2 linked regions of the Anolis sagrei genome follow. The protein of the gene in region 2 interacts with the protein of the main gene of each other region in a pairwise test. Links are inferred from orthologs where the notes say so. Each region holds a gene or a part of one and is shown on either strand. Other genes may lie near its edges.

Region 1 (16,171 bases), on a different chromosome or scaffold from region 2:
ATGAAGCATTAGATTAGAATCCTCTGGGACAGGGATATCAAACTCATTTTCACTGAGGGCAACATCAGCCTTATATTTGGGGCATTGACTCCATGGAGGGAAAATCCATGGATACAGAAGGCCAACTATAATTTATTTTACATAGTGGTTGGTGCTCTTGACTTTTTACCCAATTTGGGCCCCCAGGTGTTATTGATCCACAACTCCCATAACTTTTTATTATCTGCCATGCATACTGGGGATAATGGGAATTGCAACCCATTCGCATTTGAGATTCTGAGGTTGGGAAAACATTAAAGGTTTTAAAGTCAGGCCTCATATCCACAAGTCTTATATCTAAATTCGAACCATGCTGTCCTGGTTAAACAGAACAAACTGCAGCCTTCCAGGTGTTGCTATATCACAACTCCCATCAGTTCTAGTCATGATATCTAACGAGGAGAAATACATCTTGGGAATTAAGATCATCTGTGGAGGCCATGCTTTTAGTCCCACCTGCTTTGCAAACATGGCTGGTGGGGACGAGAGACAGAGCCTTCTCAGTGGTGGCCCCTTGTCTATGGAACTCCCTCCTGAGGGATATTAGATCAGCCCCCTCCCTCCTAGCCTTCAGAAGGAGAGTCAAGACCTGGATCTCGGAGCAGGCTTTTGAAAACTAATGCAGTACAATAACCTTAATGTGGAATAATGTGCAATTTGACTACGAAATGGCCTTAGACTCTGGATTATGGATGGTGTATTTTTAACACTGGCTGGAATGTATTTTATTATGTTCAATATGTTAGTTTTTATTCCAATTTATTTTAAGTCACTATTGTATGTTGTGAGGCATTATGTAAGTGCCAACTGTAAGCTGCCTGGAGTCCTCCTCGAGGTAGAGAAAGGCGGGATATACTGTATATACTCGAGTATAAATCTAGTTTTTCAGCCCCTTTTTTAGGCTGAAAAAGCTCCCCTCGGCTTATACTCGAGTCAAGGTTATTTATTCTTTTACTCTGTTATTAGTATTATTTTATTACATTTATTATTTCACTCTATTATTATTATATTTACATTATTTTGTTCTATTATTGTATTTATTATTTTGCTCTATTATTATTATTATTATTATTATTATTACATTTATTATTTTAATCTATTTATTATTATTATTATTATTACATTCACAGTATTTTACCCTATTATTATTATTACATTTATTATTTTAATCTTTTTATTATTATTATTTTTATTATTTTTATTATTACATTCACAGTATTTTACCCTATTATTATTACATTTATAGTATGTTGTGCTATTATTACTACATTTATTATTTTACTCTATTATTGTTTTATTGCATTTTCATTATTTTACTCTATTATTTTTATTATATTTATTATTTTAATAATAAGCACATTTACATTGAAGGAGGCTAGAATAATGGTTTAATAAGAGTTGGGCAGTCATATCTTAAATTACAGTTTTATGTAAATATTCAGAAACGTTTAGCCTATTGATGCCTCAATTAATGTAATTTTATTGGTATCTATTTTTATTTTGAAATTGACCCATAGTGGATGCATTTCCCACCCTCGGCTTATACTCGAGTCAATACGTTTTCCATGTTTTTTGTGATAAAATTAGGTGCCTCGGTTTATATTCGGGTCGGCTTATACTCGAGTATATACGGTAAATAAGGTAAATAAATAAATAGATAAATACAGGAGTTGTAGTCCAGCATTTGGAGAGCTGCACAGAATTACATAGTGGGCTGGATTCAGCCAGTGGGCCTTGAGTTTGATGCACGCAGTTTGAGAGAAGACGCCATTATGGCAATGGCCTTTAACCCATTGCCTTCCAGGTGTTTTGGACTCTAAATCCCATTTCCCTTAGACAATGTGGTGTCTACTGGCTCGGGATGATGGGAACTGAAATCCAGCAAATCTGTAATGTGCCTAGCGGGGTAAGAAGCTGTAGGGCAGACACACCCTGTCCTCTTGCTCATCTCTCCTCCAACCACTAACTGGCAGGGCTTTGAGGAATCCAGAAACACCCAATGCCCACTGTAACGCAACACATTTATTGTGTTTAATCCTTCAACAAACTGAGGAAACCAGCCTGGCCTGTATCGGGAAGTTATGATACAGAAAACCCTTGAGGTCCTATTACAGGGACACACCTACTTCCAGTAACTAGAATAACCCTCCCCATGGCTATGCGTTACTAGCAGCTCATGACTCTTCTGATCACGGAAATGATAGGAAATGAGCTTACCAGACCTAAATCCTGCTGAAAATGTAAACTTCAGGCTTAACTCCTGGACAAGCCTAGAGCAACTTGAGCTGGAACAGGGAGAAAGGTGGCAAATTCAGATTTCTATGCAATGAAACCAACAGGAAGAATCAGAGTCCACATTACTCAAGGAGTCAGATGGACTGCTTTATGGCAAAGAGAAGTTCTCCACCCATTTTCTGAGCAATCATTATAGCCCTGAGATCTCATACAGTCTTTAATCAAGCAACTTTCTAACTCTAGAGAGAAATAAATTACAAGGGAAGGAAGTGAGACCTGGAAAACAGTGGGAGACTCCCATTTCTCACTTGGAAGGTGCAAGAGAAGGAAGGAAGGAAGGAAGGAAGGAAGGAAGGAAGGAAGGAAGGAAGGAAGGAAGGAAGGAGGGAAGGAAGGAAACCTTACCGTGCAAGAGAGCTTGTTTTCTCTTTCTGCTATATCCTCTTGTGGGTTAGGCAAAAATCCCCCCTCCCTAAAGATTTATTTCCTGGTAGAGGAGGAGCAAACTCTTGTGGGGAAGAGAGCCTGTTAAAGGGCAAGCAGATTATGAAATATTCTCCTTTACACATGAGTCATTGGAAAACATAGGCAAATCATAATGGCAAAGCAGGCATAAGGGAATGTACCCAACAACTGAATGGCGAGGAGGGATACTTGCAATACATTTTGAAGTGCAGCCAACCCCTTTTCATTCAGGTCTGCATGAAGATGACTTGGCCGCAAAAGATGGCATGTGTATGTGTGTATGGGGCAATGGGGTCTCTATGCTGCATGATGAAGATGTTTGTGGTTTCGACATTGGACAACTTGGGAGAACACGCTGCTTGGCCCTTAAAACTCACTGAGTGATGGGGTGTGAAACTTATGGCGATCGTTCATGTGAAAGGGATCTAGGAGGGATCACAACCTCTGAGGATGCCTGTCATAGATGCAGGTGAAACGTCAGGAGAGAATGCTTCTGGAACATGGCCATCCATCCCGGGAAACTTCCAACAACCCTGTGATTCCGACCATGGAAGCCTTCACATGGAAGATACACGGATCTAGGAGTCTGAGTAGACCACGAGCTGAACCTGAGTCAACAGTGTGATACTGCAGCTAAAAAGGACTCTAAGATCCTTTTCACTCGTCCTGCTATCGAGCCAAGTATGGTCCCCCATTCTGTATCTTTGCATTTCATTTTTTCTGCCTAAGTGGCGTATCTTGCATTTGTGCCTGTTGAACTTCATTTTGTTAGTTTTGGCCCATCTCTCTAATCTGTTAAGATCAGACACCCCTATCATGTTGCGATTTCATATGGTCTCCAGTCTTGCCACATTGTTGCTGTTGTATGTCTTTGACACATTGTATGCCTGGTTATAGGGTCACCGTAAGTTGGAAACTTACAGAATCCAATGGGATTTTTGCCTGCATAAATAGGAGTCTGGTGTCTTGATCCAGGGAAGTCCTGCTACCCCTCTATTCTGCCTTGGTCAGACCACACCTGGAATCACACTGTGTCCAATTCTGGGCACCACAATTGAAGGAAGATGTTGACAAGCTGGAATGTGTCAAGAGGAGGGCGACTAAAATGATCAAGGGTCTGGAGAACAAGCCCTATGAGGCTTAAATAGCTGGGCATGTTTAGCCTGCAGAAAAAAAGGCTGAGATGAGACATAATGAGGGCCGTGTATAAATATGTGAGGGAAAGTCATAGTGAGGAGGGAGGAGGCTTTTTTTCTGCTGCCTTGGAGACTAAGACACAGAACAATGGCTTCAAACTACAGGAAAGGCGTTTCCACCGGAACATTAGGAAGAACTGTGAGAGCTATTCAGCAGTGGAACTCTCTGTCCCGGAGTGTGGTGGAAGCTCCTCCTTTGGAAGCTTTTAAATAGGCTGGATGGCCATCTGTCAGGGATGTTTTGAATGTGATTTTCCTGCTTCTTGGCGGGGGGCTGGACCGGATGGCCCATGAGGTGTCTTCCAACGCTTATAATTCTGATTCTTGGAGGGGGAGACACAAAGGGGGCAGTTCTATAGCTACCCCCCCCCCCAATCCCAAACAGGATCAACGACGTAATCTGCTGGAGTGCCAGGACAATCAATTGGCCTTCCCCACACTAGCAAATATATGAGACAATAACAAGACTTAAAAGTTTTACTATCACTTGTTTCAAATTAGAGTCGAGGATATCCGAGATCATTTTTGCGTCGAACTAGCAATTTGAATGGCAATATTTCTTTACCGTGATCCATGTAGAAAGTACTGCGAAGGGTGAGGCAATCCCTGATCAAACACTATAAAAACTAGTGTAAGTTCTGTTTACTTTCCTGTTTTCAAAGGCACTCAAGCTCATCTAGAGACAAGGATTTGGGCAGTATAACAACAAACGCTATGGGGCAGGGCTCCTGTGCCTTTAACAGCTTGATGAAAAGAGGGAATGTGGCAGGTGTACCTTTGTGTCATTTTGCTCCCATACAGAGAATTCGGGGTAGTTCTTAAAGACACAAACAAACATAAGCTCTATCCCAAATATAATCCACTTTCTTGCATGTTAATGTACTGTAAAGAATATGTAATATATGTGGCTTGGAGTGATTCTGGCCATGAAAGTCTTCTACCACACATATTTTATCATACATGGGCAAGGACACAAAGAACTAGAGTGGAAAGACAGCTTGCAGTATTGATATGTATTTAGGGGCAGTTGATACAGTGGGCGTATTTTTATTCCATAAAGCACAGATTTCCAAATATTCATATAGAAATGCTCCCTTGGTTTATGAAAGCTACCGCCTCACCATGCTTTCCCAAAGTGCTATGCTTATAATATAATGTAATGTAATATAATATAGTGTATATACATATATTTATAATATATTTGTAATATTATTAATATTACATGATATATAAATATGTAATTATACTATCATATTATTAGTATTATATTGCATTAAAATACGAATATTATTTATTTATTTATTTATTTATTTATTTACAGCTTTTATATTCCGCCCTTCTCACCCCGCAGGGGACTCAGGGCGGATTACAGTGTACACATATATGGCAAACATTCAATGCCAATTTTGACATACAACATATACAGACATAGACAGAGGCTATTTAACTTTTTCTGGCCGCCAGGGGAGCTGTCGCCTTTATCGTCCATCTGCGACGCTGATGAAGTACTTCCGCATTCCCCACATGCTTTTTGTTGGAGTGCTTGCTGAAGTCTTTTTTAATGGTCTCATAAATTAGTTAATTTAGCCTCCCCACACTTTAAGGTGGTACCTTATTTTCCTACTTGACAAATGCAACTGTCTTTCGGGTTGCAAAGGTCGACAACAGGCTACACAATGGTTGGAAACCCACTCCAACCTGGGCTAGCTTCGAACTCATGACCTTTGGTCAGAGTGATCTTAATGCAGCTGACACTCAGCCAGCTGCGCCACAATCCCAGTGCATTATATATATATATTTCTTGTAATATTAATAATATTACAATATAATGGTATAGTACTATAAAGTAATAATAATAATAATAATAATAATAATAATAATAAACTTTATTTGTACCCCGCCAACATCTCCCCAAAAGGGACTCGGAGCGGCTTACATGGGGCCAAGCCCGAACAAAAATTACAATATAACAATACAAATTACAATCAAATAAAAAACATAATAGTAAAATATAAAACATCATAATATTTAACATAATATTTAATACTGATATTGTACTATGCTAATAACATATTGTATGTATGTATATATATGTATATATCTTGCAAGCCGCTCTAAGTACCCTTCGAGGTGAGAAGGGCGGCATACAAATGTCCTAAATACATAAAGTCGGGTCAGCACTCAAATGAAAGCAAATCATTTCACGCGCCATTGAATTGCATGAAAACGTGAGGTCATACATCAACCAGCAAGTTGCCAACCTCTACCAGTACGCATGCGCTGACTTTCTCCCGCAGTCTCCCTGCTTGGAGCACACGCATGCGTAGAACAGTCCTTTTCCTGGATTCGGGCATCTTGCCGCGGATGCGCGCTGGGGACCCATGGGTCTTGGAACGGCCGACCATTTTGGCCGCGCATGCGCTCTTAATGTTATTTACAAGAACCTGCCCGGGCGCGCGACCCGTCGGTCAAGCAGCCCTTCTGCGCACGAGCGCATTGTTTTCCGAGCACCCGCCTCCGTCTACCAGTCCTGGCTTCCTTACATGGCGCATGCGCACTTCAAAAAAACCTCCCCACCGACCATAGCACCGCGCTTTTCAACCCCGCATGCGCGTTGAAAAAATTGACTTTCAAAAATTGCGGGTTTGAATACTTTTTAATTTCACCCAGCTATTTAAAAAAAGAATCTAAAATGGGGCCTTAATTCACAGAAGGACCAACTGAAGGGTAGCGTTGGTCACGCGAGAAGGCGGCCTTTTTGTTGTCGTAGTAGTGTCTCCTCTGGCGCTAAGCCGCCCGCCATTTTCTTTGCCTTCTTGCTCAGATCGGTTACGTCATCGCTGTCGTGCGCAAACCTGAAGTGTGGTGCAGTCCTGGGTGTTTTTCCTCAGAAGACCAAAGGGCAATGTTCCCTCTAAGGCACCCTCATAGTGACAAGCAAAATGGAGTCCCTTTGGTTCACTGTTTCTCTCACTGTAGCTACAATTACCCATTGAGGAAATCTTGTTGAACCTAGTGGAACCTTTCTCCCTCTGAATAAACTGAATAAAAAACTAAATCTGAAACGAACACACTAATCCAGGCATGGGTTGGGCCCTCCAGGTGTTTTGGACTTCAACTCCCACCATTCCTGACCTCAGGCCTTAACTCCCACCATTCCATGGGCAAACTTGGACCCTCTAGGTGTTTTGGACTTCAACTCCCACCATTCCTGACCTCAGGCTTTTTCCTTTTCCCCCCTCAGCCGCTTAAGCAGCTGAGGGGGGAAAAGGAAAAGGCCTGAGGTCAGGAATGGTGGGAGTTGAAGTCCAAAACACCTGGAGGGCCCAAGTTTGCCCATGCCTACACTAACCTAAATGTTTGCCCATGCAGAGGGGAAACAATCAGGCACATCTAATCACCTCTCAACAAAAGATTGCCCCAGGCACTGCCAGGCCATCAAATGCTAATCAAGGTGGTCAGTTGAAACATTCGCACCTAGCTCCAACAGAGTTCTTTGCCCCACCCTGGTCATTCCACAGATATATAAACCCACTTTCCTAGTTCCAATAAACCTCACTACCTCTGAGGGATGCTTGCCATAGATGCAGGCGAAACGTCAGGAGAAAATGCCTCAGTCTAGAACAGGGGTCCACAAACTTTCTAAACAGAGGGCCAGGTCACAGTAGCTTAAACTGTTGGAGGGCCGGATTATAATTTGAAAAAACCACAAATGAATTCATATGTACACTGCACATATCTTATTTGTAGTTCAAAAGACACTTAAAAACAATACAATAATTAAAATGAAGAACAATGTAAACAAATATAAACTTATTAGTATTTTAATGGGAAGTGTGGTCCTGCTTTTGGCTGATGAGATAGGGTTGTTGTTATTGTTGTGTGCTTTCAAGTCGTGTCAGACTTAGATTGACCGAGCAAGGGCTGGATAAATGACCTTGGAGGGCCGTATCTGGCCTTTGGTCCTTAGTTTGAGGACCCCTGTTCTAGAGGCATTTTCTCCAAACGTTTCGCCTGCATCTATGGCAAGCTACCTCTGAGGATGCTTGCCATAGATGCAGGCGAAACGTCAGGAGAAATGCCTCTAGAACATGGCTCTATAGCCCGAAAAAACCCACAAGAACCTAGATAAATAAATGTTTTAAATAAATAAATAAATGATCTGAATAATCCGATTTAGTTGACAGAATGTTTTAAAAGCACGAAATTTGTTATTTCATGTATAGGCAAACTTGGGCCCTGCAGGTGTTTTGGTTGTTAGGAACTGTGGGATTCGAAGCCCAAAACACTTGGAGGGCCCAAGTTCGCCCATGCCTGTGTTATTGTCTGTGAACCCTGGCGGCCATTTTGTGTGAGGAGAGGCTGTCACTCAAACGAGAAAACTAACGGGGAGGGGAAAAGAGGCGACCGTTACTCGTGCGCGCGGCCGCCTCGTCCCCAGCCAATCCGATTTCGCCTCTGAAAGGCACAGAACCCTGCGGTGGCAGCGCTCGCCGCTCCGCCCAATCAGAGAGCCCTACACGGAGAGGGCCTTTGCGCGCCCCCGCGCGTGCCGGCCCCACCCAATCGCTACCTGCCGCCTTTCTCCTCCACACCCCTCCTTTATTTTTTCCCCCCTCCCTCTCAGGAAAGAAAAAAAAAACCTGTGGGAGGGGGGAGGGGGGCGCCTGAGCGGGCGCGCGCGCGCAAGGGAGAGAGAGAGAGAGGAGAAAAAAAAAGGGACCAATCAGCGCGCGCGCCGAGCTCTCCTCGCGCCGCTGCCTCCTCCTCGCTCGCTCGCTCCCCCCTCCCACCTCACTCCCCCCGCCCGCGCGGCGTCGTCGCTTGCTCCCCGCTCGCTCCCCCCTCCCTTCCCGGCCCCCCCTCCTCTTTTTTCGCCGAGACGAGCCCCCCCCTTCGTGGCCGCCGCCGCCGCCATGGACCCGAGCAACTGGAGCAGCTTCATCTTCCAGGTAACCCCCCTCCTTTTTCCTCCTCCACCTTCCCCCCCTCCCTTCGTCTAAAAAAAGGGGGGGAGAGGGAGGGAGGGAGAGAGAGAGAGAGAGCGCGGGGAAGGACAAGAGAGCTTCGAAGTTTCCCCGCTCACACCCTCCCTGCCCCGCCCCTCCCCTCGGGAATCCCAGCGGGCGGGGGGCCTCTTGCGCGCGCGGGCCAGCAGGGCGCACTCCGCACGCGCTCACTCACTCCCTCCCCCGCCCCCCTCTCTCCCTCGCCTCGCGCCTCTCCTGCTGCTGCTGCCCCAACGGTCACCTCCCCTCCGCCCAGCAATGCTGCTGCTGCCGCTGCTGCCTCCTCGCGCCTCGCGCTGCCCTGCCCCGCCCCTCCCCTCTCCTCCCTGCGCCTCGCGCCTTCTCCCCTCGCCCCCCTCCCTTGCCTTCCCCTCCGCGCGCGCCAACGGTCACCTCCCCCTCGCTCGGCCCAGCCCCTCCCTCCCCTCCCGCTCGCCTTTTCTCTCCTTCTTCTCCCTCCCAAAATGTCTCCCTCCTGAGACCCACATAGATGTACCACGAGCAGCCCGTGCCCCCCGCTTCGTCTTCTTCTTCTTCCTCCTCCTTCCCCTCGTGCCCCCTTCAACCCAAATGGCAAAGATGGCCCCTGGCATACTGCTCTCTTAACCCCCCAGAGGCGCCAGCCCCGCTCGGCCATGCTTGCCCTGCCTGGTGGCTTCCCGGCCCCCAGGGTGTGCTTGCCTTCAGGAGCAGGGGAGGAGGCCACGGCCACACTCTGCTGGGGTGTCAACAGGTGCGTGGATTTCCCCCACCTGTTTCTGTGTGCTCCTTTGAGGGAGGGGGCAAGGAAAGGGAGGAAGGAGCTCTCATGCCCTTCCTTCTTCGCTCCTGGTCCCCAAATCTAATACTAATACTAATAATTGTATTACCCATTTTACCCAACAGCCTAACTTATTTTTCCTGATCCCCAGAATTTAATACTAATGCTAATATTAATACTACTACTACTGCTAATAATAATAAATTGTATTGCCTACACACCTTACCCAACAGCCTGACTTATTTCCTGATACCCAGAATTTAATACTAATGCTACGACTACTACTAATAATAAATTGTATTTCCTACACTCCTTACCCAACAGCCTGACTTATTTCCTGATCCCCAGACTGTAATACCAATGCTAATAATACTAATACTGCTAATAATAAATTGTATTGCCTACACTAATATTGTACTATGTTAATATATTGTATGTGTGTGTGTGTGTGTGTGTATGTATGTATGTGTGTGTATATATATATATATATATATATATATATATATAGTAAGCCGCTCTGAGTCCCCTTCACAATGAGAAGGGCGGCATATAAATGACATAAATAAATAAATACACACCTTGCCCAAAAGTCTGGCTTATTTCCTGATCCCCAGAATTTAATACTAATGCTAGTAATAATATTAATACTACTACTACTAATAATAATAATAATAATAAATTGTATTGCCTACACACTTTACCCAACAGCCGGACTTATTTCCTGATCCCCAGAATTTAATACTAATGCTAATATTAATACTACTACTACTAATAATAATAATAATAAATGGTATTGCCTACATACCTTACCCAACAGCCTGACTTATTTCCTGGTCCCCAGAATTTAATACTAATGCTAATGATACTAATACTGCTAATAATAAATTGTATTGCCTACACTGATATTGTACTATGTTAATAATATAATATATTGTATGTATATATACCTTGTAAGCCGCTCTGACTCCCCTTTGGGGTGAGAAGGGCGGCATATAAATGTCATAAATAAATAAATACACACCTTTCCCAACAGCCTGACTTATTTCCTGATCTCCAGAATTTGATGCTAATGCTAATAATACTAATAATAATAGGTTTACTGTGAGTTTTCTGGGCTGTATGGCCATGTTCCAGAAGCATTCTTTCCTGACATTTTGCCACCTCTAAGTCAGGCATCCTTAGATTGTGAGGTATATTGAAAATTAAGCAAGGGAGGTTTATATATCTGGAAGGTCCAGGGTGGGAGAAAGAACTCTTGTCTGTTGGAGGCAAGTGTGCTGCCCCAAAGATCACCTCCCCTCCGCCCAGCAATTAATCACTGATTAGCATTGCAAGGCCTTGCAGCTTCAAGGCCTGGCTGATTCCTGCCTGGGGGAAGCCTTTCTTAAGAGATGTTAGCTGGCCTTGATTGTTTCATGTCTGGAATTCCTGTTTTTGAGTGTTGTTCTTTATTTACTCTCCTGATTTTAGATTTTTTAAAATACTGATGCCAGATTTTGTTCATTTTCATGGTTTCCTCCTTTTTGTTGATATTTTCCTCACGCTTGTGGATTTAAATGGCTTCTCTGTGTAGTCTGACATGGTGGTTGTTAGAGCGGTTCAGCATTTCTGTGTTCTCCAACAATATGCTGTGTCCATGTTGGTTCATCAAGTGCTAGCAATCAGGGCCAGCTAACTCCTCCCAAATAAAGATCCCTCCAGGCAGGAATCATCCAGGCCTTGAAGCTGGAAAACTTACAGCAACCCAGTGATTCCGTCCATGAAAGCCTTTGACAACATACTAAGAATAATTTTTTTTATTGCCTACTCACCTCACCCAACAGCCTGACTTATTTCCTGGCCCCCAGGGTTTACTTACCATCAGGTGCATCTACACACACAGCGTGGGGGGTCATTACCACACTGTTCCGGTGTCAGCCCACCCATTTCTGTGTGCTAACCTCTGGTTTCTTGTGGGTAAGAAAAGGCAGGAAGGACTTTCTTACCTGCCGCTCACAGCTGATGAAGATTGTGATAGAGACACGAGTTGCCTGCAATTAAAGTAGTAAATTACCTTGGGTTTACTGTGAATAAATTTGACTGCTAAAACCCTGGAGGTTTCAACCCCACTCGGCTGTACTTTCTTGCCCAAATGATACTTCCTTGTTACTTCCTGACACCCCCCCCCCCCCAAACACCAGAGTTTACTTACCCTCAGTATAGGAGGTCATTTCCACACTATATTCTGGCATCGGTGAGTGTGGTGTTCATTCCCCCACCTATTTCTGGGTATGAACCCTTAAGGAGTGGGTGGTTTCTTGTAGTCAGGAAGTGAAGGAAGCTCTTTCTCTCACTTCCTTGATCTTTCTTCCCTTGTCATCCACACCTGCTGACAGTTATGATAGAAACATTATTTGCTGCAATTAAAAAGTTGTAATTACCTTGAGTTGCACTTCTATTTTACTGTGGGTGGCCCAATTTGGTGTAGCTCTTTCAAGGGCCTCTCCCCATTGACTTTTCCCCTCATATTTGTTTGTTCTTTCACTGCCTTATGCTTTTTAACCACCCACAGCCCATGGAGCCCCTTCTCTTGACCTTCCACTTCACAGTAAGACAAAGGCCCCTTTCACACAGCTGAATAAAATCCCACATTATTGCTTTGAACTAGACTATATGACAGTGTGAAAGATAACTCAGTTCAAATCGGATATTGTGAGATTTTCTGCCTTGATATTCTGGATTATATGGCTCTGTAGAAGGGGCCCAAAATTCTCTTTAAAGTCATGATTCCTTGCTCTCTCTTCACAGTATCTCTCTAAAAAATAACCTGCTTATTGGTCTCTTGCTTAGTGCCAGCGCCGCTTCTTGCCTTGGCCCTCCTTTCTCCCGGTGCTTATCCCTCCTGCCCAGGATTTCCTCTTTGCAGTGTACTGCCTAGGCCTTTCCTTTTGCAGATAGGCCACTTGCTTCTCTAGCCACCCCTAAGTGCCCTTCTTTCCCCAGGATAAATGCACACAAGATACTGCTTTCTTGGATCCCAACTCTTCATCTATATCAAAAATCAATTCTGGTTAGTGTAGCTCTACTCCTTGGACCGGATCTCCACCTGACACAGCGCCTGCCCATATCTGCTGGAATCTCTTGTCTGCTCCCTTTTCCTCCTTCCCAGCATAATGAAATTTTCTTTATCTTAGTATTCTGTTCATTACATCCCATTTCACCCAGGGTAATTTTGTTTCCTACTATTTTCTTACAAAATAATCATTACCTCATTTATATTTTTTTTCAAATTCTAAATTATACTTATGAGAATCTACAGAAGTACTGTATGACCCCATATCCAATATCCCCAGTTTCACTCCAAAAAATATTCTCCCCCAAATGTATTTCTGGCCAACCATACTGTAGAATAGTGCTGGGGATTCAGATATGCTTATGGATCTCTCTAGGTTCTCCAGTCTTTGTTATACCACCAGCTCAAGTATAGTCAAAATGTAGGATTCACTATTATCTACAATTTCAGGAATCCACAATGGGGCTTGGGAATATCCTTCAGGGATTCAGAGTCCACACTGTAACGGAACTATAAGCCTTTGCAGTCCCCCACACACTACCAAAATTATGTTAACTTTACTTAATACACAGTATTTCCTACATTGAGCCCTTTTCTCACAGATTAAGGATGTCTGCCATAGATTCAGGTGAAACGTCAGGAGAGAATGCTTCTGGAACATGGCCATACAGCCCAAAAAACTTACAGCAACCCAGTGATTCCGGTCATGAAAGCCTTCGACAATACATTAAATTAAATTAAAAGCATTGCCTGATCTCTTTCTTTTTGTCTCTTTAGCAGAGTCATACTCAGAACCCTCTACAGGTTGGGGCCGAAATCCAGTCCAGGTTTTTTGCCGCTCAGGGCTGCGGTCAAAGCCCCTTCCAGGTGAGCTTTGAGCAACAAATGGAAAGCAGTGGACTCCTTTGAAAACAACTACCTCAATGCTGAAGACCTAATTTGTCAAAATAAATAACTTCTTCCTGTAAGGGGTTGTCTATTGTACACATTCTTTTACATTTTCTGTACCTATTAATGTTTTTTTTTTTACATTATTTCAGAGCTCTAAGATATTAGAAGTCGTGTAATTTTATTGCATTGGTGGGACCAATATAGAAATAATAACTTAAGAAAACCTATCCCATTCTATTATGTCTGTAGCAGAGTTTTGAAACACATATTCAGTGTGTACTGTTTTGTAAGAAATCTACTCTCCCAGTCCATGTAATCTAACAAGTAATTAATCTGTTTATGTCACTGTTTTGTTTTTTTAAACCAAAGAGTGTGCTCAAGACAGCTGCATGTTTCTGTATTTTTTGGTTGTACACATAAATATTAATTCATTTTTATTAATCAGCTGAGAAGTTAACAATTTAAAACTCATTTGTTACAAATTCAGATAACTTTTATCCTATGTATATTCACTTACAAGTCAGTCCAGCCACATACATTGTCAGGAAACGTGTTTCCAGTGACAGATCCAAATACTGAAGCTTCCTTCCTCTGGTGATGGTTTCTCAGTATCCAAAACCAGAGGAAATTTTAGACTGTGTTTTTAAAATGTAGAGTTGGTCAAACACAAAAGTAATGAAGACTGCACTTCTGTGCTTCTTCGTTTTCTTATAGTTCAGATTTGACAAATTTGATCCAAATATTCTGGCCAGTTTCTTATTATTGTAAGAGGGTAAATGGGGTTGTCAAATTATGATCCCTGCAGAACATGACATTCATTTTAAAATATTGTGAAAATAGCTGGTTTGTTTTTGGATTTTTGAGAAATAGAAAGATTTATGTATGAAATGTTAGATCAAAAATGGGTTATGTAACTTATTGTGATGTTTTCCCCCAAACACATTGATAAAATGTTTTGTCCATTTTACTGACAAGTGTACTGAGACTAAGTCTGCAGGCAAATGTTTACATTTCTGGGATGTCTTGTAGGGCCCATTGGAACGAACTTCCCAAATTTGTTAGCATCTGGTACTGTACACCATTTTGTCCAAGATCATGTACTAACATCTGAACTGGAGTTTTATTTTGAACTTCTCTAGTGTTCCAAATTTAACAACTACATCATTCTTGGTTTTTACTGTAAAATGATTACATGTCATGTTATTTATTGTCTCACTATATAATATATGACTTAAGATTGTCACATCAGTATAATAGTTCCTCTTTCCTGCTGTCTAAGCACTGGAATAATAAGGCTTCATCTTCTAAATTTTGCTTTACTTCAAGAGTATAGCTAATACATAAACATTTCTGAATTGTTTGAAGGATAGTATGTTTAACAGGTCTAAACATACTATCCTTCAACCCTACATTCTGTTTTCATAATTTGTTGTAAGTATTTGGGGCAAGAGTTTAGAACAAATGAATATCTAAGGCATCCTTATCCCGATTCTTTGAATTTCTTGTTTCTGTAAGTTGCCAATTATTTGTAAATCATTTCTATTCTGAAGAAATCCACAAATGTTTAGAGTTCTATTATTTCTATAACTGCAGGGTCTCTCACACCATTTATACTCTTAGGTGACAATTTTAAATTCTTGCATACAAAATCATTGGGTTGGAAGAGACCCCAGGGGCCATCCAGTCCTACCACCCATATATATTGCATGATAAGGATAGAGAACTTGTTAAAGTCATGTACAAATTTTTCCCTGATAAAGTTCACTTAATCCAGACTGGTAAATATCTGTTTGCCCACAACAGGTGAAGTGGGCAGGTGCTTCTAAATTTGAACAAGTTGACCTTAGCCTGCCTGTAAACGTCAAAATAAGTGCAAATATGTCTGATTGAATGGGTTTGTATTTTTTATGGACTGAGTTTAAGACAGTTTTTTAAAGAACCACACAGAGTTAAGTGGAATTAACAATTGTGGTTTATATCAAGAAGTAAACTAGTTAATTTGTAATGCTGGCCCTTTCTCTTTATTTATTACCAATGAAAAAAACACAACTGTTTCACACTCTTGCTTGATTAATGTATTGATAGGTTAACAAATAAACAGATTTGTTTCAGGGACACAAAACAGAACTCTGAATGAAACCTATTAGATATAAATGAATGTTTATACAACAATTCGAAAATTGGGCTAGGATTAGGGTGAAGTTTCAAGATTCAATAAAGTATGTCAGAATCTTCACTTGATAGTGCAGTGGCAACTATTCTGCCCCCTTTGGAAAAACAAACTTCTCTAACACGTTGAAACTCAGCTGTTAAAACAAATATTTAAAGGAGATGGTGAGTGTTTTTAGCCAGCCCTCCCGTGTGCACTGCATCTCCAATACATGATAATGTATCCATGTTCCAACATCCAGGCATGTCAGTAATTCTGACCTCCGTGCAGTATGATATGACATGTCACTATGGCACATACATGTTCATCTTGTGTAATCATTTCAACAGTAGCTTAAACAGCTGATATAGGGAG
Region 2 (16,206 bases):
GCTCTCCACTCTGGATTTTCAGATACAACTCAAAGTGAGAATTGTTTTATATTGTAACACTTTCAGCATTTTAAGAATATAATCTGATACATATTCTAAGGCACCAGTGTAACTCTATACATGAAGCAGGTCAACAGGTGTTGGCAATATTTGCCACCCTATCCATCACAACCAATAGATTTTGTGGCTTGGAAATTCAGTGTAGTCATCTCAGAAAGGTGATAAGAGCCGTGGTAGCCCATAAGCCTTTGGTGAAATAAAAAACACTAATACCTAAACAAAGTTTTAACCTTTTTTATAGAATAAATTAATTTTGATACTATGAAATAATCCAAGAGGAAATTTATATTTATAAAGCATTCTAACAAGTGTATTTTGGAGCAGGGCTTCTTAAACTTGTTTCTACTTTTGGCCTGAGAAATGTTTATGTAACTCCAGGCATATAGATATATTAAACAAATATAAAAATCAACCATTTACTGATAAGAAGTCAGTATTTGCAAGGATTGCTAAATAGGCTTTTTTTCTTCTCTTTTTGTGGAATACAGCAGAAGCATTTTCTGTAGAGTCTACTGTAAACACTGCACAAAAGAGTTGTTTAAATGTCTAAAACAGCCACTAGGCATTGATTAGAAATGTTCTAGGGACCAACATTGAGTGAAGGGGACCCCATTTGGGGTCTGGGCCCACAGTTTAAGAAGCGATACCTTTAGAGTATTTTTCAAAATTCAAAATCGTAATATACAAAACTAGCAGAAATATTTTTATGGTTGTCGCACAAAATAATACCCACTAAAGCTACTTTCATGAAGTTTCACAAAACTATTATTTATTGAGTAAAGTGGAAAATTTCATTATAGTATATCTTGTTTTCCTCAAATTGTTAAGCACTGAACTGCCTTTTTGACACCTTACCGTGCAGTATGTAAATCTCAATCCTCATTCCTACATATTTTCTAAAGTAGGGCTTTTCCCACTCAGAACCCTTCTTCAACTAAGAAATTTTTATGTGATCCCAGGTATATAGATATATAAAATAGGTATAGGATCAAACACTGGTTGATGACAAATCAAAATTTGGCAAGGCTTCCTAAACAGGCTGATTTTCCTTTTTATGAAGTACAGCTGAAGCATCTTCTGCAAAGTCCACTATAAACACTACACATTGTTGCTAACAGATTTCTGTATATGTCTAGGTGGCATTCAGAAACCTTTTAATGCTGCCAAATTTTTCACAACCCTAACACTGATTCCATTTGGGTTCAGCACTCACAGTTTATGAAGCAGTGTTCTAAAGCATATATGTCTAGATAAGACAATTTTGGAAAGGTTCACTCTTGCCAACTTTTTAGTTAAACATACATGATGTCATGTAATAACATTTTCCCAAAAACCTATTTACGATGTAAAGCACATTCTGCAAACTATTCGAAGTCGAGCATATACTAGTTTTAGTATAACTTTTTTAAAAGCCGAATATGAGGTTTTACAATATCAGAGAAAATTAAAAAGAGCAATGCAACTAAATAAAAATGTTTTGTGTAACCAAATTGGTTGAAACTGAAATTACTGGATAAGTTATCCAATCGTAGTAAAAAGATATAACTTTGTCTTTAAAAAATAAAAAAATACAGATGGGTTTCATTATATTCAACTCATTGGTACTCGTTACTACTTACTGATTTTATTTCCATTCTAAATGCACCTGCTTTCATCTTTCCATTAACAAACCTACATATCGACAGTCTGGTATCTGCTAAAATATTTTTGTTCTATCGAAGTCAAAGGCATCCTGAACATGCTTCCTTCCTTTATTGCTGTTGGGCTTTTTTGTTTTGTTTTTGTTTTTACAAATTGGTGATACAGGCATCTTTCTTGCCAGGCAATGCTTACTTCCTGCTGACTTCCTCAGTCCCTCCCACCATCAAGCACTCCCCATGGTTTTTAAAGTTTTAATTTCTAAAACTTCTGCCACGTTTCTGGAGACACATCTGTGACAGAAGACCCTTTTTTGCACTGGTTGAGCATCCCTTAATCAGAATGCCAAAATACTCCAAATAGATGACATGGATGGCTAAGATCTATCATCTATCATTTCATGAACAAAATTATGTTTAAAATAATATGCCTAAAGTCACCTTCCATCTATATCAGTGGTTCCCAACCTGTGGTCCATGGACCACCAGTGGTCTGCAAGAAATCAAATACGGTCCACAGCTTCACCATTACTACAACGGTGCAACGAGAGTGACTGGTCTCATGAAACTCTCTTATAGTGCCGAGGCTTATTAAATATGGTTTTCTGTGGGTTAGCAGATGACGACTACTGGATAGCATATACGTATCAGAAACTAGAGCTGATGTAGTCTAGCCAATGCAATTTTCTGATTCAGCGGCCCAAATAACCAAATTGAATCTAAAATCAACCAAAAACTGATTCGTAACCCTTTTGATACTAATGTTGGAGAGTGGTCCCTGGTCAAAAAAAGGTTGGGAACCACTGATTTATATGAAGTAAAAGAAACACAAATTTGTGTACAGTCTTGGGTCCTATCTCCATTATATCTCTTCAGGCAAATGCAAATATTCCAAAATCTAGGAGAAAGGAATTCCCAAACACTTCTGGCCCCAAGCTTTTTGGGTAATGAGGGAGACTCCACCATGCTTAATATTTACCCTTTTGCAGAGGATGCACATCTGCCCCAGAACCGCCTGCTTTGCAAACCCATTAAAACCCCCTCCAACCTGGCATGCAAAGTGACCCTCCGGCCACCCTGGAGAGATCATTATTATTACTACTTATAGGACATTTTTCCTCTTAAGACTCAAAGTAGCAGACAGCACTAAAACAACACAACATACACATCAAAACCTACAGACGTGAAATAGTATGAAACTCGAGAACCACTTTAAAATAGTTTAAAAACACAGAGACAACACAGAAAAGCCACCGAAATCCACAAGCATGTGAACAATTCCAACAGAAAGGAGGAAACAATGAAAATGAACAAAATCTGGCTACCAGTGTTAAAAAAATATATAAAATCAGGACTGTAAATAAAGAACAAAACTCAGAAGACAGGAGAATTCCTGACATTAAATAATGAGGGCCAGTTAACACCTCCCAACAAAGGATTCCCCTGGGCAGAAAGCAGCCAGGCTTTGAAACTACAAGGCTATTCAGTGCTAATCAAACTGACCAATTGCAACATTCCCATCTGCCTCAACCAAACAAGGGTTTTCTCCCACCCTGGACATTGCAGAGATTTATAAACCCCACTTGCCTAGTTTCCAACAAACCTCACAACCTCTGAGGATGCCTGTCATAGATGTGGGCAAAACATCAGGAGAGAATGCTTCTCGAATATGGCCATACAGCCCGGAAAACTCACAGCAACCCAGTTTAAAATCATTAAAACCTTTTAAATTGGTATATGCAATACATATAACATATTCTCCTTACCCTCAAAAAATAAAAACACACAGGAGTGGTGTACTGCCTCATAAGTGAGGTGGTAACCTTTTAAGCAAACACTGGATGGTTCTCTGTGGGGAATGCTTTGATTGTGCAGGACTCCCGCATGGCTGAATAGGGTTTGGACTGGATGGCCCTCAGGGAGCCCTCCCAGAAGGAACTCCCTGATAAGTGGTTTATTTATTTACTTACTTACTTCATTTGTATACTGCTTTTCTCACCCCAGGGGGACTCAAAGTGGTTTCCAACATATTCAAGGCAAAATTGAATACCTCATTGCATACATATGAAAAAGCAACAATAACAACGTTTCGCTACCAATTAAATCAACCTGTTCTCTACCAGTGGGTCCCCGGGTGTTTCGGCCTACAACTCCCAGATATCCCAGCTAGTTTACCTGCTGTTAGGATTTCTGGGAGTTGAAGGCCAAAACATCGGGGGACCCACAGGTTGAGAACCACTGCCAGAGTGTGGTGGAGGCGCCTCCTTTGGAGGCATTTAAATAGACTTAAGCAGAGACTGGATAGCTCTCTGTGGGGAATGCTTTGATTGTGCTGGACTCCCGCATGGCTGAATAGGGTTTGGACTGGATGGCCCTCAGGGAGCCCTCCCAGAAGGAACTCCTTCCCTCTGAGCAGTGGTTTATTTATTTATTTACTTACTTACTTCATTTGTATACTGCTTTTCTCACCCCAGGGGGACTCAAAGTGGTTTCCAACATATTCAAGGCAAAATTGAATACCTCATTGCATACATATGAAAAAGCAACAATAACAACGTTTCGCTACCAATTAAATCAACCTGTTCTCTACCAGTGGGTCCCCGGGTGTTTCGGCCTACAACTCCCAGATATCCCAGCTAGTTTACCTGCTGTTAGGATTTCTGGGAGTTGAAGGCCAAAACATCGGGGGACCCACAGGTTGAGAACCACTGCCAGAGTGTGGTGGAGGCGCCTCCTTTGGAGGCATTTAAATAGACTTAAGCAGAGACTGGATAGCTCTCTGTGGGGAATGCTTTGATTGTGCTGGACTCCCGCATGGCTGAATAGGGTTTGGACTGGATGGCCCTCAGGGAGCCCTCCCAGAAGGAACTCCTTCCCTCTGAGCAGTGGTTTATTTATTTATTTACTTACTTCATTTGTATACTGCTTTTCTCACCCCAGGGGGACTCAAAGTGGTTTCCAACATATTCATGGCAAAATTTAATACCTCATCGCATACATACGAAAACCCAACAGAAAACAACAATATTGCACTATCAATTAAATCAGGGGTCCTCAAACTTTTTAAACAGAGGGCCAGGTCATAGTCCCTCAAACTGATGGAGGGCCAGGTCATAATTTGAAAAAATAAATAAACATGAATTAATTCCTATGCACACTGATATCTTATTTGTAGTGCAAAACACTTTAAAACAATACAATAATTAAAATGAAGAACAATTTTAACAAATATAAATTTATTGGTATTTCAATGGGAAGTGTGAGCCTGCTTTTGGCTGATGAGATGGAATTGTTGTTATCCTGTGCTTTCAAGTCATTTTAGACTTAGGTTGACCCTGAGCGAGGGCCAGGTAAATGAGCTTGGAGGGCTGTATCTGGCCCCCGGGTCTTAGTCCCCCCTCGGGGGTTGAGAAGGGCAGGGTAGAAATGTGCAAAATAAATAATAGTTTGAGGACCCCTGAATTAAATCAACCTGCTCTCAACCTGTGAGTCCCCGGGTATTTTGGCCTACAACTCCCAGGTATCCCATCCAGTTTACCTGCTGTTAGGATTTCTGGGAGTTGAAGGCCAAAACATCTGGGGACCCACAGGTTGAGAACCACTGGCAGTGTGGTGGAGGCGCCTCCTTTGGAGGCATTTAAATAGAGCAGATTCTCAACCTGTGGCTCCCCAGATGTTTTGGCCTTCAACTCCCAGAAATCCTAACAACTGGCAAACTGACTGGAATTTATGTATATGTCTGTATACCTTGTATGTCAAAATTGGCATTGAATGCTTGCCATATATGTATGTGTTCATTGTAATCCGCCCTGAGTCCCCTGCGGGGTGAGAAGGGCGGAATATAAATGCTGTAAATAAAATAAATTTCTGGGAGTTGTAGGCCAAAACACCTAGGGACCTATAGGTTGGGAAACACTGAAATAGAGGCTGGATGGCCATCTGCCGGGGGTGTTTTGATTGTGCATGGAGCTGGACTAGATGGCCCATGTGGTCTCTCTCTCTCTTCCAACTCTATGATTCTACCTGGGGTGCTGGAATTTATGTATATGTCTTTATATGTCTGTTTATGTGTATGTCTGTATACGTCGTATGCCAAAATTGGCATTGAATGTTTGCTATATATGAGTCTCTGAGTCCCCTGTGGGGGGGGGGGGGTTATCGTGTCAGGAGCGACTTGAGAAACTGCAAGTCGCTTCTGGTGTGAGAGAATTGACCATCTGCAAGGACCTTGCCCAGGGGACGCCGGGATGATTTTATGTTTTTATCATCCTTTTGGGAGGCTTCTCTCATGTCCCCGCTTGGGGAGCTGGAGCTGGCAGAGGGAGCTCATCCAACTCTCCCCGGATTTGAACCTGTGACCTGTTGGTCTTCAGTCCTGCCGGCACAGGGGTTTAACCCACTGCGCCACCAGGGGCTCCATCCCTGTGGGGTGAGAAGGGCGGAATATAAATGCTGTAAATAAAATAAATTTCTGGGAGTTGTAGGCCAAAACACCTAGGGAACTATAGTTTGGGAAACACTGAAATAGAGGCTGGATGGCCATCTGCCAGGGGTGTTTTGATTGTGCATGGAGCTGGACTAGATGGCCCATGTGGTCTCTCTCTCTCTTCCAACTCTATGATTATACCTGGGGTGCTGCTGTAGGTGCTGTGGCTCCTGAAGCTGCTTTCGGTGCAGTAGCTGCCATCGTCGTCGTCCTCCTCCTCCATCTCCTCGGGGCAGTCCGAAGGGATGCCTCCTGCACCGACGCCGCCGTCCTCCTCCTCGTTTTCCACCACCACCACCTCCTCGTCCTCCTCCTCGCCCTCCATGGCCTCCTCTTCATCCGAGCCGGGCTTCCCCTCGGAGTCGGCTCCCTCTTCCTCCTCCTCTTCCTCCTCGGATAACGCGCTCTCCTCTTCTTCTTCCTCGTCGTCCTCCTCCTCGCTCTCATGGTCGTCGTACACGACTTTGCTGCTCCTCCGGGAAGAGGAGGCCCTGCCCTGACTACTGCTGTGGCGGCTCTTGCCTCCGCCTCCTCCTCCTCCTGCGGCCGCCCTGCCCCTTCCCCGGCCACTACTGCCTCCCCCGCCAGGGGTGCTGCTCCCTCCGCCGCCTTTCCTCCGGCCGCCCCCTCGGGTGGGAGGAGAGCCCCCCGCTGATGCTGCTGCCGCCGCCGCCCCTCTCGGCCTGGGCCCGGCCGCCTTGCCCGCCTGGGCCTTGGCCGCCCACCTGCCCCGGCTGCTGCCCCGCAGGCGCGACCTCAGCCCCCCGGTGGGCCCCGTGGGGGAAGCCGCAGCGGCAGCCGAGGCCCCGCTTCTGGAAGCCGCCGGCTGCGGGTGCTTAGGCGGCCTGCCTCGCCGTCCCCGCATCGCTGGGCGCTGGCTGGCAGGCTGAGGGAGACTGCGAGGCCGCTCGGGAGGCCGCTGGAGAAGGGCGGCGGGCGCTCCGGGAGCGCCTCCTCCCCGCGCTGGGGGACGAGACCCGGAGGCCCGGCAGGGAGCTCGGAGGCCCGGCCCGGGGAAGGGCTCAGTCTCTAGCGCCGGCGCCCCGCTCCGGACCGCCGCCGGCCGCCATCTTGTTTCTTCTTCTTCGCCTCAGACTCGGGGAAGCGGCGGCAGGCCTTGGGAGGGTCACGTGGGCAGGGCTGCGCGCGCAAGGGGGGCCCGCCAGGGGGCGCGCGAGGGCTGCGCGAGGCGGCGGCGGCGGCCCAGCAGAAGGCCTTCGAACTGCTTGAGGAGCCTCGGCAGGGCTCTCCTCTCCCAGCGCCCTTCCACACAGCCACAGAACCCAGGATATCAAGGCGGATCATCCACAATATCTGCTTGGAAATGGGTTATGTGGCAGTGTGGACTCAGATAACCCAGTTCAAAGCAGATACTGATATTCTAGGTTATATAGCTCTTCCACACAGCCACAGAACCCAGGAGATGAAGGCAGATCATCCACAATATCTGCAATGGAACTGGGTTATATGGCAGTGTGGACTCAGATAACCCAGTTCAAAGCAGATACTGATATTCTAGGTTACATAGCTCTTCCACACAGCCACAGAACCCAGGAGATCAAGGCAGATCATCCACAATATCTGCTTGGAAATGGGTTATGTGGCAGTGTGGACTCAGATAACCCAGTTCAAAGCAGATACTGATATTCTAGGTTATATGGTCCTTCCACACAGCCACAGAACCCAGGATATCAAGGCAGATCATCCACAATATCTGCATGGAACTGGGTTATATGGCATTGTGGACTTAGATAACCCAGTTCAAAGCAGATACTGATATTCTGGGTTATATGGATGTGTGGAAGGGCCCTCTGCACCCTTCCACACAGCCACAGAACCCAGGAGATCAAGGCAGATGATCCACAATATCACCTTGTACAGGATTATCTGAGGCCTCTTCCACACAGCTGAATAAAACCCCATATTTTCCGCTTTGAACTGGGATATCAATATAAATAAAAATGTAAAGTTCGTTTGTGGGATTAACATAACTAAAAAACCACTGGACGAATTGACACAAAATTTGGACACAATACACCTAACAGTCCAACAAGTGACCATCACCCCTAAATAAACACACACAAGCACACACAACCCCAGCTAAACAGACTTAAAAACCCCAAAAATACACAATATATACATATACACATATACTCATATACACATGCACACATTCAAACACACATATATATGCACAAACACACATATATACACACATACACACAGAAATACACAAATGTATACACCCATATATATATATATATATATATATATGCACACACACATATATACACAAATATATACAAACACATAAACACATATATACACACACAAAACATATACACAGACTGGGCCACAGCAATGTGTGGCAGGGGACGGCCACGCATTGCTGTGGTCTGTCTTACTTACTCAATGCCAGAGATACAGCTTAATAGTGTAACATTAGAAAATGTTGACCATTTCCGCTACCTTGGCACCACCAAAGTCACTGCCTGAGCTTTGCAAGTGCAGCATTTTTCCAAATGAAGCAGAGTGTTTGAGGACCGGGACATCCGTAAGGATACCAAGGTGCTTATTTATAAAGCTGTTGTCCCTCCAACCCTGCTATATGCTTGCGAAACGTGGACTGTCTACAGACGTCACATGCAACTCCTGGAATGACTCCATCAGCGCTGTCTCTGGGAAATACTGCAAATCTCTTGGGAAGAATCAGAGACCACCAGCATTGAAGCAATGGTCCTCTACCATCAACTCTGCTGGACCGGCCACGTTATCTGGATGCCCGACCACTGTTTCCCAAAGCAGTTGCTCTATTCCGAACTCAAAACAGAAAACGGAATGTTGGAGGACAGGAAAAGAGATTTAAAGATGGGCTCAAAGCCAACCTTAAAAACTCTGGCATAGACACTGAGAACTGGGAAGCCCTGGCCCTTGCGCGCTCCAGATGGAGGTCACCTGTGACCAGCAGTGCTGTAGAATTTGAAGAAGCATGAATGGAGAGCAAAAGAGAGAAAAGTGCCAAGAGGAAGGTGCCAACCCCGACCGAGACCACCTTCCACCTGGAAACCAATGCCCTCACTGTGGGAGAAGATGCAGATCAAGAATAGGGCTCCACAGTCACCTATGGATCCACCACATACTGCACACTGACCCTGGAGAACCATCATCCTCGGACAACGAGGGATCGCCTAACTGTAAACTCAATTGCCGAGTATACCTGCCCTGTTTGGCATAGGTCTGCCCATGCAAAGCAGGTGAACATAGCATTCAATTAAACAATACAATACAATATACACATATTTTAAAATTTTCTATCTTATTAATAGGGGAGCTTATTATTTATTTATTTATTTATTTAGAACTTTTCACCTCTGCAGAGGGACTCAGGCCGGTTCACAACAATAGTATCACAGACAATCATTTAAAAACATCACATCCCATAATACACTAAAACATTAAAATACTAAAATACAATCATATAATTACATAGGCCAAGTCTTCAAAATGAAATCGTAGTTCATCACCATCCGTCTGTGTAGTCACGGGTTATTAACTCACTCGTCAAATGCCAGTTTCCAGAGCCAGGTTTTCACCTGTTTTCTAAAGAGAAGGGGCAGTTCTGATCTCCAGTGGGAGAGAGTTCCAGAGCCGAGGGGCCACCACCGAGAAGGCCCTGTCCCTCGTCCCCACCAGGTGTGATTGCGAGGATGGTGGGACCAAGAGCAGAGCCCCTCCAGAAGATCTTAACAATCTTGATGGTTCATAGGGGAGAATCCATTCGGACAGGTAAACTGGGCCGGAGTCGTTTAGGGATTTATAGGTTAACACCAGCACTCCTGTTAGTAATCTGGCTGCTGCTCGTTGGACTAATTGGAGCTTCCGGGCAGTCTTCAGAGGCAACCCCACGTAGAGAACGTTGCAGTAGTCTAAACAGGATGTAACCAGAGCATGGACCACCGTGGTCAAGTCAGACTTCCCAAGGTATGGGTGCAGCTGGCGCACAAGTTTTAATTGTACAAAAGCTCCCCTGACCACCGCCGAGACCTGGGGCTCCAGGCTCAGCGAGGAGTCCAGGATCACTCCCAGACTGCGAACCTGCGCCTTCAGGGGGAGTGTAACCCCGTCAAGCACAGGCTGTAACCCTATGCCCTGTTCAGCCTTTTGACTGACCAGGAGTACCTCTGTCTTGTCTGGATTTAGTTTCAATCTGTTGGCCCTCATCTAGTCCGTTACAGTTCAGGACTTGAACAGCCACCTTACTAACAGCCTCCTTAGCTTAAAAATATATCAACCTATCCCCTTCCCCCTCAAAATGGATGGACGGATGGACGGACAGACAGACAGATAGACAGATGATTGTATGAAAAGCACTTAAGAATGTATTATCTTAACCATTTCTGCCTTATATTGTGTCATAACATAGAGGACATGAAAGAGCACAGCCTTCTCAGTGGTTGCTCTCCAGTTGTGGAACTTTCTACATCGGAAATCAGGTTGACTCCATCTGCTGGCAGGCAATGTCCATTCTTTATTTAAGAAGACATTTAGTTTTCAGTATATTGCAGCAGATAGAGCTTTTAATGAGAAGTCTCTGTGTGTTAGTACTATATTTTATTGTGTTTTGAACATTTTAGTGTTTTTCAGTTGTGTTTTTAAAAAAATTAAATTTACTTTATTTGTGTTTTAACTTGTGTATTAAGGATTTAAAATGTATTGTGTTGTTGTTCTGTACACTGCCTTGATTCCTATGTTGGGAGAAAGTCGGGATTTAAATTTAATAAGTAGCCGCAATGAGTACACTAAAGGGTACAGTCTTCACTGATAATATTTATTTATTTATTTATTTATTTCAGGTATTTTTACCCCGCCTTTCTCAACCCTCTAGGGGGGACTCAGGTCGTCTTCCAATCGGCACATATTCGATGCCTGCAATTAAACACAATAAAATACACAACAAACAGTAATTATAAATAATTAAAACATTGAGTTAATACAATAAAATCTACTAGAAAAGAAGCCAGCCTGGTGGCCATCACTTTGCAGCCTCCCAGAGAAGAGATTAACAATTCGGCAACCATTCTGCATCCAGGCACATTACTTCCATACAGTGCTAGCATCAGGTTTAGAGAGATCTTTAGAGTAAAAATTTCCGTGCTCTCTAACCTTGAAGAAGTAAGGTGTACACTTAGGCGACCCCTCATAGTCCGAGGGTGATGGTCCTCTAAGTGTAGTGTCCTGGCGGTGGGTCCATAGGCGACTGTGGAGCCCTGTTCTTGATTTGCATCTTCTCCCGCAGTGAGGGCATCGGTTTCCAGGTGGAAGGTGGTCTTGGTCGGGGCTGGCTTGGCGCGCCTTCCTCTTGGCATGTTTTTCTCTTTCGCCCTCCATTTGTGCAAATTCTGCAGCACTGCTGGTCACAGCTGACCTCCAACTCGAGCGCTCAAGGACCAGGGCTTCCCAGTTCTCAGTGTCTATGCCAGAGTTTTTAAGGTTTGCTTTGAGCCCGTCTTTAAATCTCTTTTCCTGCCCTCCAACATTCCATTTTCTGTTCTTGAGTTCGGAGTAGAGCAACTGTTTTGGGAGACGGTGATCGGGCATCCGGTCAACATGGCCAGTCCAGCGGAGTTGATGGCGGAGGACCATCGCTTCAATGCTGGTGGTCTTTGCTTCTTCCACCACGCTGACATTTGTCCGCTTGTATTCCCAAGATATTTGCAGGATTTTTCGGAGGCAGCGCCGATGGAATCAAACCAGGTACACAAACCAGGAATTGACTTCATTTGGGGTGTTTGCAAAGAATCACTACCCCACAGTTGTTCACAGTATGGTTGATCCCAATTATGTTTCCATGGCATGCTTGGGGTTTGCACATGTTCCAAGTCTAAATTGGACTTTCGGTTTTGGAAGCCAGTTTTAGTATCTATGTATCCAGGACAGAATTCAAAGGCATGGTCATTTTAGTCTGCAATATCCATATGCAAAGGGATCTGGTATCATTTCCATAGAGAGAGAAAAGCTTATAGTACTACCAAATTCTCTATACATTGCTATAAGACCCATTTGCAAATATAGCCACATGTTACTCATGAGTGCAGTGTTGCGACTGAGGGAAGTCATAGTCCCACTCTGTTCTGCTTTGGTCAGATCCCACCTAGAATAACACTGCATCCAGTTGTGGGCACCACAGTTTAAGAGGGACATTGACAAGCTGGAAGGTGTCCAGACTAAAATGGTCAAAGGTCTGGATACCAAGCCCTATGAGGAACAACTGAAAGAGCTGGGTATGTTTAGCCTGCAGAAGAGAAGGTTGAGAAGAGACATAATAGCCATGACGTCACATTGAGGAAGGGGCAAGCTTGTTTTCTGCTGCCCTGGAGACTAGGACACAATGGAGCAACGGATTCAAATTGCAGGACAAGAGATTTCACCTAAACATCAGGAGGAACTTTCTGATGGTAAGAGTTGGTAGGCATTAAATAATTTAGCCATCCAGTGCAATAACAAAACAAAAGGCTAGCTTGAACCCATCTCTTTTGCAAATTACATTTCACTTCATGGCAACCTATAGAGGTCTCCCAATCTCAGTCCTCAGAATTGTGCTTTGAAAGCCAAAGGAATACTAAAAGCTTGTCACAAAAGCTCTCTTAGTACAAAAGCTCTCCACAGACAGCTCTTACCACAAAAGGGAAAGACAAATACATAACAAAACAGTTGGGCCTACCTTTTAACAGAGAAGCACCCGAATTTGTCACCTATGATACATAGTACAAAGAAGTAGGTTCTCCCATTCAAATAGCGGAGGAGAAAATGCATTTGCCTCCTCTCACTCTCTGCATGATATTTGTGATATCCTTTTCTTTCTGTTCCGAACACAAGCACACAAATGGCTGTGATCAATGACTGGGCGATAGAAAATAGGGAAAGCAGACCATTTAAACTATGGTATCTTTTAACATTAATCATTTGGACATTAATCAGAAGACGCTTACTTCTTGGGAGGAGAGCAATGTCCAGTCTCGATAAAAGAGTAAAGAGTAGAGACATCAGACTGGCAACAAAGATCCGCCTAGTCAAAGCCATGGTATTCCCTGTAGTCACCTACGGATGTGAGAGCTGGACCTTAGGGAAGGCTGAGCGAAGGAAGATCGATGCTTTTGAGCTGTGGTGTTGGAGGAAAGTGCTGAGAGTGCCTTGGACTGCGAGAAGATCCAACCAGTCCATCCTCCAGGAAATAAAGCCCGACTGCTCACTGGAGGGAAAGATACTAGAGACAAAGTTGAAGTACTTTGGCCACATCATGAGGAGACAGGAAAGCCTAGAGAAGACAATGATGCTGGGGAAAGTGGAAGGCAAAAGGAAGAGGGGCCGACCAAGGGCAAGATGGATGGATGGCATCCTTGAAGTGACTGGACTGACCTTGAGGGAGCTGGGGGTGGTAACGGCCGACAGGGAGCTCTGGCGTAGGCTGGTCCATGAGGTCACGAAGAGTCGGAGACGACTGAACGAATGAACAACAACAACATTTGGAGGTGGTGGAAATAATGTTTCCACTTTGGCAACTTTGATTGGCAAGGTTTCCCTTTTCTAACATATAACCATTTGACTCACATATACAACATATAACACATGGTTTATTCTGCTAATACTTTTGTTATGGGATTTCAGCTTCTGTAAGGACCACAGGTTCGGAGCCCAATGTATCAAGCCTTCAGGAAGCCAGATGAGGCACAGATGAGATGAAGCAAAAACAGAGGCTTTATTCTCAATGGCAAAAGAGGATGTCAGTGGAGACGGTGCTCCAAATAATAGACATACTGCAATTGCGAACATTTATTTTTAAAATATTTATTTCTAGCATTTTGATTTTAAAGATTTATTTCTAACATTCAAGACTACTGCACTGGCTTCTGATTGGCCGGACATGTGGCCAGCTAAGATCTACTCCCCTGGTTGGTCTTTGTTTTAATAATTTTATTCATGGTTTTTCATTGACAATAAAAACAGCTTTGAAAAGGGAGGGGAGTGCGTTAGGGTACGGGAAAAAGGAAGGGGGTGAGGGAAGACAGGGGTAGGGAAGACACTTGGGGGGGGGGGTGTTCTTCCGTCTCTCACCATATAAGCATTTACAGTAAACATTTCTCTACTCTTCATTTCCTTGGCAGTGAGTCTGTATAAATGAGATTTATTCTTGTTGTTGTTTCTGTTCTATTAATAGAAGTACTTTATTTTCTTTCATCCAAATATTTAAGGGTGTCCAATCCGTCTTCTTCATATGTTTATTGTGGGCCTCTGTCAGTAAATATGTCAGTTTATCCATAATTTCCATTATCCATTCTTCTATCTGTGGCCTAGTTTCTTGTTTCCACGACTTAGCGTAGACTATTCTCACTGCTGTAATCATATAGGAAAAGAGCCTGTCTTCATTGATACTCCACTGTATATCTATCATCTCTAGAAGAAAACTTTCAGGTTTGAATAGGATTTTCTTTTTTAGTACTTTTTGGCAAATTTCTGAGATTTCCATCCAATAAGATCTAGCCACTTCACAGGTCCACCACATATGGGTGAAGGACCCTCTACACTTCCCACATTTCCAGCACCTATCATTCACATTTTTATTGAATTTCGCTATTTTATGTGGAGTCATATACCATCAGTAAAGCATTTTAATCCAATTCTCTTTAAGAGCGTACGCATAGGTATAGTTCATTCTCCTATTCCACATTATTTCTCAGTCCTCTAGCGGTATTGTTCTTCCTATGTCCTTTGCCCATTTGATCATGCAGTTTTTAATCAGATCTTTTTCAGTGCTCCACTCCAATAATTGTTTATAATTTTTTGTGATTTTTTTTTTACTTTCAAAGATCTTTAGCCATGTTGGTTGGTCTTAACTGTGGTGGAAAACTTTTATAAACTGTCATTGGGTTATTTTGAAGATTTGTGTCAATTTATTGATACATCCAGTATAGGGGCATGATTGAAGGGGATGCAGTTGGTCTTGATATCCCAGCTCTGGTTAAAACAATGTGTGCCAGTTGGGTAAACAAAAGGTGCTCAAGGTGTTGGCAATCTCAATGGGAACCCCCGAAGGGGATCTAATTTGGTGACTGAGATGAGGAAGTGTTCCTAGGATTAAACCTGATCATATCAGGAAAAACAGGAAAAGACCCAGAGGCTCTTGCGTAAGCTGGTTGTGTGTTCCATATCACTTCCTGGGATATTGTGAAGGGATTGTATTAACAAAGGTGTTACCCTTCCCTGAAGTCTGAGGTATGTATGGTCTCTTTGTAGCATTCCAGGGGAGGTAAATAAAAATAAAACTGAAACTGGGAATGAAGTCCACATGGCTTCACTAATTCATCGTTGTGGGGTTCATTATTTTGGGGTTCAGTTTTCAACAATTTTGTTGCTGTTGTTTTCTGGCTTCCTGTCCAACATGTGTAGCTTTGTAAAAGTCAGTAAATATTAGATTCTGTGGCACTGTGAGCAATAATTGTGGCTTGGTTGTTGCCTTGTACCACAACGGCAGCCATATGAAAAACATGATTAGCTGTGTTTCAGAGAACAAGCCTTTGACGTGAGACAGGATACTTTGATGTTTTTCTCCTTTTCGGTATTGGTGTATTGAAGGTGATTTCATCCAGGCAATGAATGTAGAAGGGGGATGCATCTTTAGTTCTTTTGCCAGCATCTATTATGTAGATGGGTGTAGACAACTGTGGAAGGCCAGGTAGCTCCATTAGGCCCCCAGGAGACCTTGGAGGGCGGCATCTATTACTGCAAAAGAAATGTCCACTTCCTCTCTACAAAGCTGCTAGGGGTTATGGAGAGAATTTCACCATGTTTGTGGACTTTAAAAACATCCTCTCCAGGACTTAAATTAACCCACAGGCCCCACAAAATGTGATGAAAATACAGCCTATGCTCTCTGGTGCAAAGTGGGTTGTGGCCCCTAATTGAATCTGGTTGTCACCAAAATTTTGTATAATGAATGTTTTAGATATTTATATGAATCCAGGAGAA

What was found.
Region 1: the proteins of BPTF (region 2) and MAZ interact in a two-hybrid assay, tested with the Homo sapiens proteins (2 studies listed by BioGRID). The link is inferred for Anolis sagrei from reciprocal best matches to the Homo sapiens genes BPTF and MAZ.

Annotation. Positions count from the first base shown.
Region 1 is NC_090026.1:17,341,406-17,357,576, reverse strand, and holds the start of MAZ (myc-associated zinc finger protein), read left to right. Parts: upstream 1-9,155; 5' UTR 9,156-9,434; coding exon 9,435-9,677; intron 9,678-13,533; coding exon 13,534-13,623; intron 13,624-16,171. UniProt on the Homo sapiens protein: Transcriptional regulator, potentially with dual roles in transcription initiation and termination.
Region 2 is NC_090022.1:180,068,224-180,084,429, forward strand, and holds the start of BPTF (nucleosome-remodeling factor subunit BPTF), read right to left. Parts: upstream 7,297-16,206; 5' UTR 7,049-7,296; coding exon 6,325-7,048; intron 1-6,324. UniProt on the Homo sapiens protein: Regulatory subunit of the ATP-dependent NURF-1 and NURF-5 ISWI chromatin remodeling complexes, which form ordered nucleosome arrays on chromatin and facilitate access to DNA during DNA-templated processes such as DNA replication, transcription, and repair.